Macaca mulatta: one gene and its partner. The protein of the gene in region 2 interacts with the protein of the main gene of each other region in a biochemical or structural test. Links are inferred from orthologs where the notes say so. Each region holds a gene or a part of one and is shown on either strand. Other genes may lie near its edges.

The links.
Region 1: the proteins of RAB11A (region 2) and RAB11FIP4 form a complex in vitro, tested with the Homo sapiens proteins (2 studies listed by BioGRID, with this or other methods). The link is inferred for Macaca mulatta from reciprocal best matches to the Homo sapiens genes RAB11A and RAB11FIP4.

The regions. Positions count from the first base shown.
Region 1 is NC_133421.1:40,782,724-40,792,660, reverse strand, and holds the start of RAB11FIP4 (rab11 family-interacting protein 4), read right to left. Parts: upstream 4,695-9,937; 5' UTR 4,621-4,694; coding exon 4,462-4,620; intron 1-4,461. UniProt on the Homo sapiens protein: Acts as a regulator of endocytic traffic by participating in membrane delivery. Required for the abscission step in cytokinesis, possibly by acting as an 'address tag' delivering recycling endosome membranes to the cleavage furrow during late cytokinesis.
Region 2 is NC_133412.1:43,313,680-43,323,556, reverse strand, and holds the start of RAB11A (ras-related protein Rab-11A), read right to left. Parts: upstream 5,103-9,877; 5' UTR 4,986-5,102; coding exon 4,946-4,985; intron 1-4,945. UniProt on the Homo sapiens protein: The small GTPases Rab are key regulators of intracellular membrane trafficking, from the formation of transport vesicles to their fusion with membranes.

The DNA of each region.
Region 1 (9,937 bases), on a different chromosome or scaffold from region 2:
ATGCCTACTCTGTGCAGATACTGGGCTAAGCCCTTTGTATGTATTAACTCACTCAAATCCCAAAATAACCCTATGGAATGGGGCCTCTGATCAGTTCCATTTGATGGATGAGTAAATAGAGGCCTAAAGAGGTTAGGGAGACTATGCAATACATCAGGAAGGCAACGCGGGGTCAGGGTGTTGAGCCATCATGTTACATATTTATCAGAGTCCTGCTCCCCTGGCATTGTAGACTTTCAGGGTCAGGGCAGTGGTGTGCCCCCATCCCTCAAAAATCTTCCTTCCTTCCTACTTCCCTCCCTCCCTCCTTCTTCCTTTTCTTTCTTTCTTTCTTTTTTTTTTTTTTTTTTTTTTTTTGTGGCACAGTCTCACTCTGTCACCCAGGCTGGAATGCAGTGATGTAATCTCAGCTCACTGCAATCTCTGCCTCCTGGGTTCAAGCGATTCTCCTGCGTCAGGCTCCCGACTAGCTGGGATTACAGGTGCATGCCACTACACCGGGCTAATTTTTGTATTTTTTGTAGAGATGGGGATCTCACCATGTTGCCCAGGCTGGTCTCGAACTCCTGAGCTCCAGGGATCCTCCCACCTCAGCCTCCCAAAGTTTTAAGATTACAGGTATGAGCCACCACACCTGGGCCATTGTCTCCTCTTTTCTGCTGTGATATCTAGGTCAACAAAGTAGGGAACTATCAGGGACTAACCTAATCCATAAATACCATTATTAAGTAACGTTCATACTTGATCCAGACTTCCTTAGTTTTTACCTAATGTCCTCTTCTTGGTTCTAGGGTCCCATTCAGGACACCACACTGCATTTGGTCATCTGCCTCCTTAGTCTCCATTTGGCTGTGACAGTGCCTCAGAATTTCCTTGTTTTGGATGACCTTGACAAATCTGACAGGTGCTAATCAGGTATTTTGTAGAATGCCTCTCGGTTGGGATTTGTCTGGTGTTTTTCTCAGGGCTAGACTGGGATTCCTGGTTTGGGAGGAAGACCACAGAGGAAAAGGTCTATTCTCACCACATCACACTAAGGGTATATGCCATCATCATGACCTGTCACTATTGATGTTGGCCTTGATCACCTTCTGAGACAGTGTGTGTTGGGTTTCTCCACTATACAGTTGTTCTTCCCCTCCCCTTTCCAAACTCTACCCTTTATAAGGAAGCCACTACACACCTCATGCTTACAGGGTGTGAAGTTATGCTTTACTTCCTCAGTGGGGCAATTATTAGCATATGTTATTTGGATTTCTTCTATACGAGAGATTTTCCTATTTATTTATTATTCATTTGTTCAATAATTTATACTATATATACTTCATTATGGCCTCATGGATATTTATTTCATACTTTATGACCTAGTATATTTTGGTTTCTGCAAAGCATTTGATCCTGGTATCCCTGGTATTCTGGGGGTAGGTGGTAAACTGTGGACAATCAGCTGTAAGTTCACTGAACTCCATATCTAATGAATGAGCATTATCCACCCCAGAGCACCAAGTGGCTAGGAAATCAATGCCACTGCCTGATTTTAAAGCAAATGAAATAGAAACAGTTAGAGTACACTGCATTTTGTAAGGGAGGCCCCCTCCACCACTGGAAAACAACGCTCCGATTTTGTAATGCATCAGGGGATATGATGGGTAGTGAGTAGAGATGCAAAGTATATTTCCACGGGTCTCGGTCAATACAGTGTGAGCAGAAAACCACCCCTACAAGTGCCTCGGGGCCCTGTCCATGGTCCTGCCCCGCATGTTTAACCAGCCTTGTGGATTCAGACACACCAAGCACTGCTTCTCCACAGCTGAGACTGACAGAGGTAGGATGGTAGATTCTCTTTCTTGACACATACAATGTGAGGAAATGAACAAGACGAAATTAAATGGAAATAAGGGCCAAGAAACAGGCTTATATTCCAGAAATTATTGACACAGATAACAGGCCCGAATGCTTCCACAAGCCAGGATTGTTAAAAGAAAAAAGAAAAAAAAAAAAAAGGAATTGTGTTACAGTAAGAGAGACTAAAAGGTGACAACAACCACATACACTGCACAGTCCTAGAGAGGAAACAGCAAAAATGGACATTTTGGGGTCAAATAGGGAAATCTGAAAAAGGTCTGCATATTAAACAAGATGAAAATTTATTGAAGCAGAAAAGTGATGATCATTTACCGGCAAAAAAATCAGGTTACAAAACAGTATGCACAGTATGATCTCATTTTCTGGAGAAAATTGGCATATAAGCATGGAAACAGCTGGAAAGGTCTGACAGAAGTGTCATCGAGGCGCTGCGGGAGAGATAGGACACAATACGTTTTATTTTGCTTGTCCCTATTTCCAGTTTTCTGCAGTGCATATCCACCGCTTCTGTAGTAATATCAGAGTATGTTTTTAAAAGAAAGAAATCACTGACGCTCCCCCAAGGGTGGAGAATCCCTGGCTTGGCAGAGGTTTCTAAAACAGATCCCTGGAGGTTTTGGTGGCCAGAAACTTAATATGAGTGGACAGTGCAGAGGCAGCCCCACCCTGAGCTGCGTGCATGTGTAAGGTCTTGGGGCTGGTACAGTCTTGGGTGGGCGGGGGGGCGGTCTGCTGGTCCAGCCCTTTCATGTTATTGCTAGGAAAACTGAATCACAGAATTAGGTGATGGCAGCTCCAGGGCCAGAAGCCAGATGTCTGGCTACTGGGTCACATGGAAATGGCCTAGGGCTTCAGGAACTGGGGTATTTGGCCTGGAGAAGGGAAAATGGGAGTAAGGAGCTAGGAAGGAGAGAAGGGGCATGAGTGCTATTTTCAAATATTTAAAGGCCCCGGCAAAGAAAAGAGACCTATGTGAGTCCCTGTGCAGAATGGTGATGACTAAGTGACGAGCAGGTCTGTCTCTAGAGTGTATGAGGGAGAAGGTTCTAATGGCAGGAACTGTCCAGCCGGGGGAGAAGTGGGTGAGGCTTGCTGGGCACGTGGCCGAGGTTGGTGGCCCCTGCCAGAGGTTGCTGGGAGACCCTTCCCACCACTGAGGCTCTGTGGTTCGGGGACTCCAGGTTTCAGCCAGAGCTGGTGGCTTCTTTACCCGCCCTGCAGCCTGTGTCCTGAGAGGAAGGAGCGGGACTCTACCTACACCAGGAGGCGGCTCAGCCTGCCCCAGATGGGAACCACCGGGAAAAGGGAAGGGTGTGGCTGGCCTTTAGGGAAGAAAGGTCATGGTGGCAGCAGGCAGTGCCCCTCAGCAGAGCCCCGCAGAGGGCAGTCTGGGCTCTCACAGGCACTGCAGTGGTGTTTCCTGGGGTGGGTACCTGAGTTCTCAAGCCCTGAAGCTGCCTCGCTCTCTTCTGCCCACCGCTCTCAGCAACTCACAGGTCCCGGCCCATGCCCAGGTGCCAGTGAGAGATAATTCTCCATCGTCTCTCACTGTCTGGTGACACGGAGGCACGGGTCCAACCTGGCCATCATCCAGCTTCCCCCATGTCCTGAAATGCCTGGTCTGACCTGTCCCGGGAACACAATGCCAGCCAGTGCCCATTTGAGGCCCATGGCCCCAGGCCCCCCATGCAGGGCCTGAGGCCTTAGATGGTCTTGGAAACCCACTTCTCAGGGCTTTTGTCTCCAGGGGAAATCCCTGACCATTTCAGCCAGGTGGGTGTTCTGTCTTCCCCTAAAGACAAAGTCCCCAGTCCCCACGCCGGTGCCACCAGAGGACTCTGGTGTGGTGATATGACTCCGTCCACCCTACTGGCTGCACCGACCCTCCGCTTCCAGCCCTGTTAACAATCTACGTAAGTCCTGCTTTCCCCAAATAGATGCCACATGAAAGCCCTCTGCTCAGCCACCACTCCCCGAGCCTGGCTCTGCTTGGCCTGCTGCAGCCAACACAGCCGGCTGCCAGCCTGGCTGCCCAGCAGAGCCTGAATGAGAGAGGTCACTCAGCACTGGGCCGGGAATACACGGTGGCCCCAGCAGACACCTTCTCCTGTGTCTGGGCAGGGTGGGTGCAGCCAAGGAGCCAAGGCTGCAGAGCACCCCTACCTGTCCCTTTCACCCCCTGGCCCGGCCCAGCAGAGCGTACACAGACCCTTGCATCTTGTTCTCCGCAGCTGGGGGTGGGGTGGGGAGCCTGGGACCAGATTCTGGTAGGTCTCTCCCCAAGACAAGGGTGGATGTGCAGACCGCTCAGAAGGACCTGCACGACCGAGGATGGAAGGTGGGCGCAGAAGCCACCCTGGGCGTGACGCGTGATGCTCGGGGCACAGGCGCCACGAAGGGGGGAAAGTGAGGGCTCGGCTGTGCCGGGGATACCCGGGGGACCGAGGTCCTGGGCTCCGGCGGAGGGAGGGGATTGGGAGGGAGGCCACTGCCTCGGGCCACGCGGGTGACCCGGCGGGAGAGCTGGGGGAGGGGCGGCGGGGCTGGGGGCTGGGCTGGGGTCCCCGGACCGGGACTGGGGTCGGGCCAGCTTACCTCCTCGCCCTGGCCGAAGCGCAGTCCGAGCGCCGCGACGCGTTCCACGCGCAGGAAGCCGTCGGGGTCGCGGCCGCACACCTCGAACACCTCGCGCAGGCGGCGCACGGAGCGCAGCAGAGCCGCGGGGGCGCCCGCCCAGCCCGCGCCGCCCGCCATCCGGGCCGGCCCGCAGCTCAGCCCGGACCCCTCGCCCGCCGCACCCGCCGCCCTCCCGCCGCCGCCATCGCCGCGCGCCCTCCGGAGCCGCCCGCCTGGGTCTGCGCCGCGCAGCCTCCGCCCGGTGGCGGCCGCGGCCGATCAGTGTCAGCAGCGGCGCCGCAGCCCCCGCCGCTCCAGAGGGGAAGGGAGGGGAGGGGAGGGAAGGGGAGGGGAGGGGAGGGGAGGGGGAGAGGGGAGGATAAGGGGGAGGGGCAACGGGGGAGGGGAGGGGCAATAGGAGGAGGGGGGGCAACGGGGGAGGGGACGGGCGGGGGCCGCGGCGAGAGCGGGAGGGAGAGAGGGAGGCGGCAGCGGCGGCGGGGACGCTGCAGACAAAAGGAGCCCGCGTCCTCCCGAGTGGGGCCGTCCACGCGGGGCCGGCAGGCGCAGCGCGCTGCCTACGGTCGCCTCCTCCGCGGCCTCAGTTTCCCTCCGCGTCCCGGAGCCCGCCCCTTCCCCTGGACACCCGGAGCCACCCGAAGGCCCCGCCCTGCCGGAGGATTCCGCAGGGTCGTGCCCCTCTCCGCTGCCCGTGCCCGCTGCCGCGCCTCGCGTCTCCCGAGGGGTCAGGATGTCCTGGGTGTCTCCTGCGTTGGCGCGTTCCGTGACTGCATTCATGTCGGAGGAAGCTGAGGCCCAGAGAGGTCGGACTCACTCTAGGCCACACAGCTCGCGATAGGCAGGGCTGGGATTCGCTCCCAGCTCTGGAGGGCTCTGGACTCCGCTCTTCACCTCGGCGCCGCGGTCTCCCGGCGCTCTACTCCAAGACAGCAGTTGTGGGGCCATCGGGCGGGGGGAGGGCACAGAGAGGAGGAGCAGGGAACTGAACCCCAGCCTGGACCCGGGACCCTGCGACAGGGAGGTGAGGAGAAAACCAGGATGAGGCCCAAGGGAGGAAAAGCGAGGCCCTTCCAGAGGCCTGCCTGTGGCAGGACCCAGGGCTGCCCCACGCCTGGAGGAGGCTTCCTCCCTTTCCCCGAGTTCCCACCATCACACCTCCCTGGCAGCCCGCATGCCCCAAGCTCAGAGAGTCCAGGACAGAATCTCTGTCCTGGTGGCTGCAGGCTCCAGGTCAGGACCTTGGCCTCCTCCCATTAGTGCTCAGCGGAGCCTCCACCCCAGCTTGTACTGACTTCCCAGCCGCGCTTCGGGGACCTGCAGGACCGGGCCGGGCTCTCCTCTGCTCTCCTCCTCCTTGCTGGGCACATCAGGTCTTTGTGGCAACGATTGGCCCCAAGCCAAAAACAGGCCTTGGTTGAGGCTACTCCCACCTGTGCTGTCCTGCTCAGCACTGAGGCTTCCCCTTCCGGGAAGGCTTCTCTGATGGCACTCTCATCTTGTCTTCTATCCTGAGTTCTAGGCCCTTCTTCCAGATGCCCAGTTAGTTCTTCATTCTCTAGTGGGATGCCCATTTTCCCTACCATGCTGGGAAGCCCTCCAGGGCAAGACATGTCTTAATTACCTTCAAGTCCCTGATCTCCAGCCAAGAGTGGGCCCAGAGGAAGCCCCACCCAGAGGGGATGGGCCCGCCCATTGTGTGAGGAGCCAGGAGCAATGTAGTGGGAGTCCGGGGTGAACTGCATGACCTCCCCTAGCTGGGCCTCGGTTTGTAGCTCTGTGGTCTTCCTGCTCAACCCTGAATATATCCTGCACAGGGACTGCCATTTGCCTTCTGATAGTGGGCGGGGCCTTCTTCTTTCCAGCCCTGGCTCCTGGGATGAACCTGGCTTTTAGCTACTCTCCTTTGACCCTTCGGTTCCTCTGAGAGCCATGAAAGGCAGCACCTGTTGGGAAGAGAGACCTGTGGTTCTGAGGATTGAGGAGTCGGAAATGTGTGAAAGCGGGAAAGGGGAGGCCTTGGGATTGGAGTGGGGGTATTCGGCTGAGTGAGAGCGTCTCTGCTAGCTGGATGCCCCTCAGCCGGATACTAACATATTTTAGCTGGTTTCCTCGCCTGTACAGTGGGGATAATAGTGCCTTCCTTTTAGAGCGACTGAAGATGAGAGCGAATCTAAGCAATGCTGCTTCCCCCGGCCTACCCTGCAAAATGGAGGTGGAAATGGAGAATAAGGACGGGCGGTTGGTAGGGAGAGACTGGCTGCTGGAGACTCAGCCAGCTCCCCGGCAAGGAGGTAGGGAGTGGAAGCTGGGGGCTGCTGCCTGCCCCTGGGACCCCGATATTAGTTCGTCCAAGGTCAGCTTGTGTGGTTTTCTCTCACCCAAGGGGCTCAGCACAGAAAGGAGATGGCCAGGAGCTGGGGCTGCCCCCTGGTGGGGGCTGCAGAAGTGGCTCTCCGCGCTCTGCCTGGCATTGAATGCCCCCTTACTGGGGACAGGGGAGCTGGAAGACTCACCCACTTCAGCTGGCAGAGGCGGGGACCTCAGGCCTGAGCATGAACAAATCCCAAGTGAACCAAGACAGGATCCCGCCATGAGATTAGCCAGTTCTTGTCAAAGATAGGATCATCACAAATTCAAAAATCCCCCAGGAGAGCTTTCCCTGACCCGACTCTCCTTGCCCAGGTCTCTGCAGTTTTGTCTCTGGTGGGCAATGGTTTGAAGGACACCTGCCTCGCCCACCAGTGGCACTGGGTCTCTTGCTCACCGCTGTGCTGCTGGGGCCAGCAAAGCACATCACAGGCATTCTTTCTGGGGTTGTCACGTTTTTGTGGCGCACCTATGTTGTGTCGGGTATGCTAGGATGACAGTGAAAGGGGAGCAGCCACTTGCTGAACTTGATGGGGACAGTCATGGCCCAGTGTGATCTACATTGAGGTCCCAGGCTCTAGGAGCCCAAGAGGGCCTGCTGAGTGCCTACCCAAAGGTCCCTCAGAGATGGTGAGATTTATGGAGTCCTTGGGTCCTTGGACGTGGACCTGGGACCACTAAGGCTCCCATCACCTTGATCGAAGAGCTCAAAGTGCAACCCCGAGCAGAAGCAGCAAGAGAATATCCATGTCAGGACCGGCTGCAGGACTGGGAACCTCAGGGTGAAGGGGGTTGCTCCAGGAAAGCAAGAGGTCCCCATGGATAGAGTGGGAAGGCGGGGAGCCTCCTTACTGTTCTCCACTTCCTCCAGGTGACCTCTGATTCTCCAGGGGATTTCCAACAGCTGCAGCAGCCTTGTCAGGCTGGAAATATACTGGGAAATATACATGGAAGGGACAGTTGGGATTCTGGCCCCTTCTCTAGGAAGAAACAAGTTTGATCAGGTCCCTCCCCTGCTGAAAACTCAATGGCCACCATTGCCTGAGCTGGCATTGTGCAGTGTCTTCATACTCTCCTGCACTCCTTAACCCTAGTGTGGGAGCATCCAGGCTCCCTACTGCCTCCCTCTGTTTAGTGGGTGGGAGGCCTCAATCCTACTCCATCCCAATTCCACTTTCTCTAATTCCTGTCCTTGTGTTGTGGAAGTGGCACTTCCTACAGGAAGCCTTTCATGACCACCCCCATCTTGCCCCCTTGACCACCTCTCTCATGTGCTCCTGCGGAGAGGTGAAAGTACAGACTGTGTAGCCCACTTACAGGTGCGGATAAGGCTGTGGTGAGAGTCAGTAAGTTAATACATACATGTAAGTGTCAGAACAGTGCTGCTGGTTAGTGACAGCTATTGTCCTTGTGACTATCCTTACCATCTCTTACCCCTGTTGTCTATCACTGGAGTATCTGGGAAACTGTATGGAAGGTCGTAGGAGTGACCATGAGGTCCCTGGTAGCAGGGACTATGTCCATTTCTCTCCTGATTTCTGTAGCTCCTAAATAATGCCCATACACACATGGTTAGGGTCTGTGTAGGAATACATTAAGGGATGGACAAATATGGTGTGGTAGCCTGAAAAATGCCCCCTTAAATGATATCTATGTAACAATCCCTGTACATCAGTGGTCCCCAACCTTTTTTGGCACCAGGGACTGGTTTCAGACAAGTCAGGGGAAGAGGATCTCGGGGTGAAACTGTTCCAACTTAGATCATCAGGCTTCAGATTCTCATAAGGGACATGCAACCTAGATCCCTCTCATGTGCCATTCACAATAGGGCTCCCACTTCTATGAGAATCTAATGCCACTGACCTGACGGAAGGTGGCGCTCAGGCGCTAATGCCCACTCACCCGGCGCTCACCTCCTGCTGTGGTTCCTGTCAGGCCATGGACTGGTAATGGTCTGTGGTCTGGGCATTGGGACCCCTGCTGTAAATGTTACCTCATTAGAAAAAGGGTCTTTGCAGATGTAATTAAGGATCTGGAGGCTGGGCGCGGTGGCTCACGCCTGTAATCCTAGCACTTTGCGAGGCTGAGGCAGGCAGATTGCTTCAGCCCAGTAATTTGAGACCAGCCTAGGCAATATGATGAAATCCTGTCTTTACTAAAAAATACAAAAATTAGTCGGGCATGGTGGCATGTATCTGTAGTCTCAACTACTAAGGAGGCTGAGGTGGGAGGATGGCTTGAGCCAAGGAGGCAGAGGTTGCCGTGAGCCCAGATCATACCACTACACTCCAGCCTGTCTCCAAAAACAAAACAAAACAAAACAACAAAACAAAAGCAACAACAACAAAAACAACAACAACACAACAAACTAGGATCTGGAGATGGGGGGTTACTCTGGGTTAGCGAGGTAGACTCTTAATGCAATCACACATATTGATAAGATGGATCAGAGGCAGATTTGACACATAAAGAGAGGGTAATGTGACCACAGAGGCAGAGATTGGAGTGGTGCAGCCATGAGCCAAGGAGCATCAGCAGCCATCAGAAGCTGGAAGAGGCAAGGAGCAGAATCCCTCCCAGAGCCTCTGGAGGGCCCACAGCCCTGCTGACGCCTGGATTTGGGCCTTCTGGCCTCCAGAACTGTTACAGAATAAATTTCTGGTGTCTTAAGCCACCAAGTTTGTGGGAGCTAGCACAGCAGCCATGAGAAATGAATACGGATGGTACAAATACCATGTGGAAGTTATCAAAGATTATTAAGAACCAGGCTTTGGAATTCAAAACAGCTGAGCTGGGCACCAACATCTGTTGCTCGTTTAGCCCCATGACTCTGGACAGGTTAATTTCTCTAAGCCTCAGTTTTTCTACCTTGCAGAGGTCCTCCAGGGTTTTAATTTAAAAAAGATTGTGTCATGCCTCGCCCAGTGCTTGGCACAGTACTGGCACCTGGGTGATTATGTGTGTCGGTATGGAGCAGTTTGGAACCAGTCTAAAAGGGGGAACATTTCTGTATTTTCATCTGTGAGCCTTGATTTCATTGTCCATGTTGTCTGGAAATGGGGCAGGA
Region 2 (9,877 bases):
TCCAGCCTGGGCAACAAGAGTGAAACTCCGTCTCAAAAAAAAAAAAAGTTGGCCGGGCGCGGTGGCTCAAGCCTGTAATCCCAGCACTTTGGGAGGCCGAGACGGGCGGATCATGAGGTCAGGAGATCGAGACCATCCTGGCTAACACGGTGAAACCCCGTCTCTACTAAAAAATACAAAAAACTAGCCGGGCGAGGTGGCGGGCGCCTATAGTCCCAGCTACTCGGGAGGCTGAGGCAGGAGAATGGTCTAAACCCGGGAGGCGGAGCTTGCAGTGAGCTGAGATCCGGCCACTGCACCCCAGCCTGGGCGACAGAGCAAGACTCTGTCTCAAAAAAAAGTTATCAGCTAGACACCTACCGTATTTGAGTATCATCGCAAATACCTAATACTAAATATCAAGCTGCTAAATGCATAAAAGCAGAATATACATATTAATTATCCATTGTTTAATTAAAAATTTCTGCTTCTTCAACTACATTTAGTTTTATACTTTCTCTTGCAAACTAATTTACTGGACCAAAATATAATTCATCAAAGACAGTACCTCAACCCTAAAAGTTACCACCTGAAAGAATAACTGGTAATTTTCATTCTGGTTTTCATAAATTTCGAGACATTTCTATTCTTTCAACTATATTCATACAGTCCAACCTCCTCAAAAGTTTTTAATATACAATGCATTCAAGGTGGGACACAGTGGCTCATGCTTGTAATCTCAGCACTCTGGGAGGCCAAGGTGGGAGGATCCCTTGAGCCCAGGAGTTTGAGACCAGCCTGGGCAATGTAGGGAGACCCCATCTCCACAAAAAAGAAATTTTTATTTCTGTAAGTAGGATAGTCTTAAAAAAAAAAAAAAAGAAGCCAGGCATGGTGGAGTACATTTGTAGTTCCAGCTACTTGGGAGGCTGAGGCAGGAGGATTTCTTGAGCACAGGAATTTGAGGCTGCAGTGGGCTATGACTGTGCCATGGCACTCTAGCCTGGGCAACAGAGGGAGACCCTGCCTAAAAAAAAAAATATATATATATATATATATATATATAGAGAGAGAGAGAGAGAGAGAGAGAGAGAAAGAATTATATATATAATGCAAACAATAAGGCTCAAGTCTAGACAAGTTTTTCCAGATTCAGCAGAATCTGAGTTGCTCAACCAAAACTTGTGAAAGAAAAACTACTAACAAGATGCAAGACAGCAAAGTTTCCATGATAATTTATACTGACAATCAGCTGACGGTTAATTACTACTGACTTCCAATGTGATTGAAAAGAAAATGTCTTAAGCAATAGACTATGTATCCAGGTATTTTCAGAAAATGTAACTTTGGATTGGTGCCTACCACACAATATTTGTAAACAGAAATTATGACTGATGCTTACTTACGTCCCACAGGGCCTTAACCACATTGTTTGTAAATACAAAATTAAAGTTTTAAAAATAAAAAGTTTAAATAAAATAAAACTAATTCCCTCCCACCAAAAGTCTCACTATTGGGCTTAAATAAAGGTCATAATTTAGAATAATTGTACTGCTCGTCCCACATTACATTCCTATTTAGACCACTCCATCCCCTATTAATTAAAATATCCCTTTATTTTCAACTTGTTAGTTACAAACTAACTCCAATTTCCTCAACTATTGCATTTGCTAGGTTAAGTCTAAGTACAAACAGCTGCAGTCCATCTCAGTGAATAAATCTCTGTACAATAAAGTTATTTTAAAATAAAATCATTCTTCACTTTAAAGCAGGATACTTGTATAAATAAGAAATTGGCTAAATAATCAGTATTGAAGTTAAAAAAAAAAAAAAGAAAAAAGTGACTCATATCCTGTAAGAGCTTTAAAAAATTAGAAATCTGGCCAGGCACGGTGGCTCATGCCGGTAATCCCAGCACTTTGGGAGGCCCAGGCAGGTGGATTACCTGAGATCAGGAGTTTGAAACCAGCCTGACCAACATGGAGAAACCCCGTCTCTACTAAAAATACAAAATTAGCCGGGCGTGGTGGTGCATGCCTGTAATCCCAGCTACTCGGGAGACTGAGGCAGGAGAATCGCTTGAACCCAGGAGGCAGAGGTTACAGTGAGCCAAGATCGCATCATTGAGCTCCAGCCTGGGCAACAAAAGCGAAATTTCATCTCAAAAACAAAAAAGTAGAAATCCTCCTCAGCAGAAGTTTTAATACCCTATCTTAAACAGCAAAATGCACAACAAAATGAAACCATAACCCATGGAAAAATAAAATGCATTAGAAGTTTCCAGTTTTATGTTTTTTTAATAATATTTAAACGCTGTTGTAGTTGAACCTACATTTAAGGTTCAAAAAACCGACAAAGGCCAGGCACACTGGCTCACGCCTATAATCCCAGCACTTGGCGGGGGCTGAGGCAGGTGGATTGCTTAAGTCCAGGAGTGCGAGACCAGCCTGGGCAACATGGCAAAACCCTGTCTTTACAAAAAAAAAAAAAAAAATTAGCTGGACGTGGTGCTGCACTCTTGTAGTCTCAGCTACTCTTAGGAGCTAGAGAGTAGCTAGGGAGGCTGAGGTGGGAGGGTCACCTGAGCCTGAGGAGGCCGAGACTGCAGTGAGCCTTGATTGTGCCACTGCACTCCAGCCTGGGGGACAGAGCGAGACCCTGTCTCAAAAAAAAAAAAAAAAAAAAAAAACTGACAAAACCACAGTAACTTCTTTCACATTATTACCATTTATTGAGTCCTCATGGTTAAAATTTTACAAATAGTCTCATTTAACTCTCACAACAATCTTAAGAGACAGGTATTTTCCTTTACATAAATGAGAGAACTGAGACTCAGAAAAGTTAACTTTTCCAAGGTCATATAGTAAATATAAGACCTGAGTCAGGATCTAAACCGAAATCTACGTTAATTCCAAAGCTCGGTGCTCTCAATCGTTGCTAGAAGGATGGTCTAATCAAAAAGCTGAAATACTTTAGGCCAATTCAGAATATTTAATATTCTTTGTTAAAAAATAAAAGGACCTTGTATAACCAACATTCCAGTTCAAACCAAATAGGAGAAATACCCTGACGGTCTATCTTGTTCTGAATTAATTACTTCAAAGACAGCCTTTATAAAGGCACACTACCATTATACCATATTTTAAAACACAAACCTCCCTTTAACCCCAAAGTCTCAAGAGATTCAAATAATTTCACATCATCTCAGATACCTTCGGCAAAACGTATGCTATAGTATACTTTCTGTAATCCAGGTCTGAGTTTTGTATTTGTAAAATGAACTAAGTACCCTGAAAGTACTTTCCAGCATGGGGTGGAGGGGGGATACCAAAAGTATTCACCCTATACAATAGAATATTCTGGGTCAGAGGCGTAAGAGACGACAAGAGTACAACAGCAGGCTAGTATAACAAGATTTGCAAAGTATTGGGAAAGCAAACAAATCTTTCCTGCTTGGTTTAGTCAATCATTCTTAGCACCCAATGGCAAAGACAGAAACAGTCACCATGCTTAACACTCTTTAAACTCCACCCTCCACAGTAAAGCTTTAATAGCAATGGCTTCTTCCTCAGTGGTAATGATCTTTGTTCAGCACACTACTGATGGCTACCTTCCCAATTCAGGAGCAGAGAAAGAGCATCAGAGTGAGAGTACATTCACTGAACAATAAAAGCATCTACTGTACTTTCTTCTTATTGAAAAATGTACCCTTTATCTTCGTTGACTAAAAAAAAAAATTGGATTCCTTCCGGACTCAACCAATAAGCAATTCTTTCTAACCAACCCTGACCCTCCGATATGTTCTATCCAAGGGCACTACATGTTTCCGTACCTTATAATAAATATTTAATGTGACCAAAAGAGCACACAACTTCCTTCCTACCCCCAACCTTTTGGGAAAGGTATGTGGCCAACTAGGGCTCTTCCCTTCCTGTTGGATCCTCCCAGTGTTGCAGCAGGAAGCAACCAGTCCATAGAGATAAAGCAAGCTAGTATTTGTGCAGCGCACAACCTTTCCTGCTCAGGAACCGGGCCTTCAGGTCTGGCAAGGATAACAGCCACCACCCATCCGCAACCTCTTCTCGCGAACCGAGTAAAGAGTTATCCCGGGTTGTGTGCCACTGAGTAGGGAGAGCAAGATAATAAAAGGCTAGGTGGGAAGTAATGTCAGCCTGCCGGGTCACTGCGACAAGTGCGCGACTGGGTGATGGTCGATCCCTCTTACCCTCCCACCACCCGGGTCGCAACGGAGACCAGGGAGCTCTAAACACGATCTGGGGAGGGAAGGTAGAGAGAGTTGCCAAATGGGGAGTGGGGGAGGGAGCGGTCAGAGAAGGTTAAGGACCGCGAGAACCGCGGGGCGGAGGGTGGGGGTGGGGACCCCTGGCCCGCTCAGATTTTACCGGGTCCTGGACCCGGGATGCGAGAAGCTTAGAGGGGGGGCCGAACAAGGGGAGGAGATATGCAGAAAAGAGGCTCGCTCGAGGGGGAAAGGGGGCAGATAAGAAAAGACCTGTAGTGGGAGTCTGCACCGAAGGCAAGGCCAAGAGGGAAGCGAAGAACCCGTCACAGGGGCTTCGGGAGAGGACGCCAGCCGGGAAAGGTGTACGCTGAGGGGGAGGGGGCGCTACACCCGAAAAGAGAGATGGTGGGAGGGGCGGCGGGGCCGCAGAACCCAGGGAAAGGAATTCGACGATATGCGAGAAGGCAGTCCGCCAGGGGAAGGACACGCAGGGAGGGGCTGTGAGGCCAGCCAAGGCCCACGGAGAGGTCGCTCAGAGAGCGGCATGTGATGGGGACCCCTGTCTGAGGAGGAGAGAAGCTGAGCTGGGTAGGAGACGGAACCACACAAAAAGGAAGGGCTGAGGCAGGCCTCTATCAGTGCACGGGTGGCCGGCACGTCCGCCGAGTGTGTCCCGGGTCCCCGAACGGGGACTGTGTAGAGTGCGAGAGCCCATGGCCTCACCTTTAAAGAGGTAGTCGTACTCGTCGTCGCGGGTGCCCATTGCGCGGCCGAGGAGCGAAAGGGCGGGAGCAGCAGTGGTATCTGTGGGACCAGGGGGCGTCGCTGCAGGGGTAACCCGAACGCCGAGCTTCAACTGCCGGACTGGGTGAAGAGCCCCTCCTTGCCGCTGCGCCACTTCCGGCAGGCCCCAGCCTTTAAGGGGAAGTACTTCCGGGGGCGGCTCCCCGTCCCTGAACCCAAGAAGGGCGGTATGCACGAGAGTCGCGATGCGTGGGGCTTCAAACTTTCGTCGCTAAAGGAGGCTCAAAGGGGAAACTGAGTCCTGGAATTCCTAGCTACCGTGGTCTTAGTGGCCTCTTGCTTATTTCTCGAGCTACCGTGCCCGGAAGCGACTCGCTGGAACCGGGCGGGACCGCCTGTGAGTGGTGGGTTTGTGGATGGGGGCGGGGTTGTCTAAGGATCAGAGAGCCGAAGGCAACTACATATGCGTGGCGGTTCCATGGTGTAATGGTTAGCACTCTGGACTCTGAATCCAGCGATCCGAGTTCAAATCTCGGTGGAACCTGCATTGGTGCTTTTTTTTTTCCTTAACAACTTTTTTGTTCACTAAGTAATTGAACAACTATGACATATATTAACATGGAGATGTAAAATTTAATCCTTGCCTATGAAGAACTCACAAATTTCCCACTGCATTTGAGGTACTATCTGCTACCTGGCGGGGGTTGTCTTAATGAGCCTCTTCACTACCTTTTTTTTTTTAACCCTGGCCCCTCAAACTTTAATTCAGAAGCTTCAATGAAACTTGAAAATTCCTTTTGCTGGAATTTTCTACCTCCAGCTTCATGCACGGGTAGGCGCTTGTCACTCACTCCTCTCCGGAAATCTCTCAGTCTATCTCGTTTTCATTTAGAGTACTTCGCCCACCCTCCTCATCAAGATTCATCAAGAACTTGAGTCCTATTTGTAGGCCTCTAATCTAAGTCCGTTTACATAAGTATTTCATTTAATATGCCGAGCAAAGGATGGCAATTTCCATTTTAGCGGAAATTTGGATACTAAGACTCAAGTGATTTGCCAGATATCATGCCGCAGGGCCTCCCTGTATTTGAAGAGAATTTTGTAATTCCAGAAAAGCCTTTATCCAATTATTGTCACACCTCCTACCTCCTATATGCAAACTCTCGATTTAGACTTGTGGGCAAGTGTGCCTAGAACAAGCAGAAGAATACCACCTGCCAATGATGTCCACTTCCCAATTCCCAGAGACTGAATAGGTTAGGTTACATGGCAAAGGGGAATTGAGGTTACAGATGAAATTAAGGTTGCTAATCAGCTGACATTAAATTAGGGATATTATCCTGGATTATTTGGGTGACCCCAGTGTTGTCGTAAGAGTACTTAAAAGTGGAAAAAGGGCTGGGCACGGTGGCTCACGCCTTAATCCCAGCACTTTGGGAGGCCGAGGTGGGTGGATCACCTGAGGTCAACAGTTCAAGACCAGCCTGGCCAACAAGGTGAAACCCCGTCGCTACTAAAAATACAAAAAGTTAGCCGGGCGTGGTGGTGGGCGCCTGTAGTCCCAGCTACTCTGGAGGCTTAGGCACGAGAATCGTTTGAACCCGGGAAGCAGAGGTCGCAGTGAGCTGATTAACAGCTGAGTCAATGGGCTGGGAAAGGCAGGCCCACCCTTAACCTGGGTGGGCACCATCTAATCAGCTGCCAGCGAATATAAAGCAGACAGAAAAATATGAAAAGGCTAGACTGGCTTAGCTTCCCAGCCTACATCTTTCTCCCGTGCTGGATGTTTCCTGCCCTCGAATGTTGGACTATAAGTTCTTCATCTTTGAGACTCAAACTGGCTTCCTTGCCTCTCAGCTTGCAGAAGGCCTATTGTGGGACCTTGTGATTGTGCGAGTTAATACTACTTAATAAACTCCCATTTATATATATATATGTCTATCCTATTCATTCTGTTCCTCTAGAGAACCTGGACTAATACAGTTGGTAAGAAAATAAAAAGGAACTGTCTAGTAAAAAGCCTGGAATTATAAATTTAGAAATGCCTAGCCTTAGACTGTGGGAGAAGCAAGACCTGAAATATATCTCACCCTCCACATCTGGGGAGGTAACCTTACATGTTTGTTAAAAACAAAGTGAGGACTGATAAGGCTGTGTTTAAACTTCAGCTCAGTCATTCACTAAAGCTGTGTCAATTTCAATAATTTATCTAATCCTGCTGAATCCCAGTTTCTTATCTGCAAAATGGGGACAAACAGGAAGAAGGAATTAAGTAACATATGTATAGCTGTTAACAGTGTGCATGGAACATAATAAATATTTATGAATGCATTGACTTTTTTCTTTTTCCTTTTTTTTTTTTTTTTTTTGAGTCAGGGTCTTGCCGCGTCACCCAGGTTGGAGTGCAGTAGTGCGATGTCGGCTCACGGCAACCTCCGTATCCTGGGCTCAAGCAATTCTCCCACCTCCACCTCCCAAGCAGCTGGGACTACAGGTGTGCACCATCGCACCTGGCTAATTTTTGTATTATTTGTAGAGAGGGGGTTTCGCCATCTTTGCCCAGGCTGGTCTTGAACTCTTGAGCCCAAGCGATGCTCCCATCTCAGCCTCCAAAAGTGCTAAGATTACAGGAAAGAGCCACTGTGCCTGGCCAAATGCAGTGATTTTCAACAGGGGTCAATCTTGTGTCCAGAGACATTTGATAACATCTGGAGACATTTTTAGTGTCACTACTTGGGGGTGCTACTGGTATCTAGTAGGGACCAGGGATGCTGCTAAATGTTCTACAACACACAGGATAGCACTCCCAACAAAAAGAATTATCTGGCCCAAAATGTCAGTAGTTACCAAAGTTGAGAACCATGAGTTATTATTGTAAGAAATAGCCAGATGCCAGGCCAGAGCCTATGATGGGAAAGGGGCAGGATGCCATGATCCTCACCTCCCTGTCCTAGCTCATTTGAAGAAAGTGAACCTCATTCCCTAGGTCTCAGGAAGAATCCCCAGGGACAGACTTTCCTCCCTTCCATATCCCATAAAGCAGAGCCTGGGGGCCACTGGCCTGACCCAAAAAGCTTCCGTAGTGGTTTCCATTTGTTAAATAAACATGTCATTGTTATATTTCTTTCTTTCTTTTTTTTTTTTTTTTTCTTTTTTTGGAGATGGAGTCTCTCTTTGTCACCAGGCTGGAGTGCAGTGGTGCGATCTCGGCTCACTGCAACCTCTGCCTCCCAAGTTCAACTGATTCTCCTGCCTCAGCCTCCTGAGTTGCTGGCATTACAGGCATGCACCACCACACCCGGATAATTTTTGTATTTTTGTAGAGACAGGGTTTCACCATGTTGGCCAGGCTGATCTCAAACTCCTAACCTCAAGTGATCCACCTGCCTCAGCCTCCCAAAGTGCTGGGATTACAGGCATGAGCCACCACGCCCAGCCTCAGTGTTCTATTTCTTAAAGGATTTTTACAGGGTTGTTCCCTTTATAACTGTGTTAAACTCTATATACCAGTTTTATGCGCTTTTGTAATAATATTAGGTTTACCTCACAATACAATTTTCAGATGGGGCATCGTAGCTTGTGCCTGGGAGGCCAAGGTAGGAGTATCGCTTGAGGCCAGGAGTTCAAGACCAGCCTGGGCAACCTAGCGAGACCCCCCCCCATCTCTCCAAAAAATGGAGAAATTAGCCAGAATGATGGCACCTATGTCCCTGTAGTCCCAGCTACTCAGGAGGCTGAGGTGGGAGAATCACTTGAGCCGAGGAGTTCAAGGTTACAGTGAGCCATGATTATACCACTACACTCCAACCTGGGCAACAGAGCAAGACCCTGTCTCTAAAAAAAACAAAAATGTTTTTGAGAGAGAAAAGTTGATGGACTTTATGAAGTGAAATTTGGCCCAGCATGGTGGCTCCTATCTGTAATCCTAACAGTTTGGGAGGCCAAGGCAGGCAGATTGCCTAAGCTCAGGAGTTTGAGACCAGCCTGGGCAACATGGCAAAATCCCACCTCTACTAAAAATAAGAAAAAATAGTCAGGTATGGTGGCATTCACCTGTAGTCTCAGCTACTTCGGAGGCTGAGATAGGAGAATAGCCTGAGCCCAGGGAATTCGAGGCTGCAGTAAGCCGTGATTGCATGACTGCACTCCAACCTGGGCAACAGAGCGAGACCCGGTCTCCAGTAAAATAAAAATAAGTAAAAAATTTAAAAAGAGGTGAAATTTGTCTTTTGTATTGTTTATCTTTTCTATTATATAGAATATATTCGAATATATATTATACTATATATATATAAGATGTATACTATATACATGTACGCTATACATGTATATAGTAATCCCACTAACTGAGCCCAGTAACTGGGCCCAGTAACTGAGCCCAGCTGACACTTTCAGGGATAATGGATATGTTCATTATCTTTATTGTGCTAATGGTTTCACAGGTGTATACATATCTCAAAACTCGTCAAATTTCACATTTTAAACAGGTATGCTGTATTGTTTTCTGGAAAGACAGCAAGATCAAGGAAGATATACATGTATACTATATACATATATTAGAATTTATGTAATACTCTATTATATATTAGAATATATATACTGTATTATACTGTATTATATATTAGAATATATACTATATTATATATTAGAACATATACTGTGTTATATACAGTATATAGTATATTATGAGGTGACAAATTGTACATATGATCAGGGAAATTCTCATCTTTGATTAGCTGGGTTTTTGTTTGTTTAAGACAGTCCTGCTCTGTCGCCCAGGCTGGAGTGCAGTGGCACGATCTTGGCTCACTGCAACCTCCGCCTCCCATGTTCAAGCAATTCTCCTGCCTCAGCCTCCCGAGTAACTGGAATTACAGGCACATGTCACCACGCCCAGCAGTAGAGACGGGG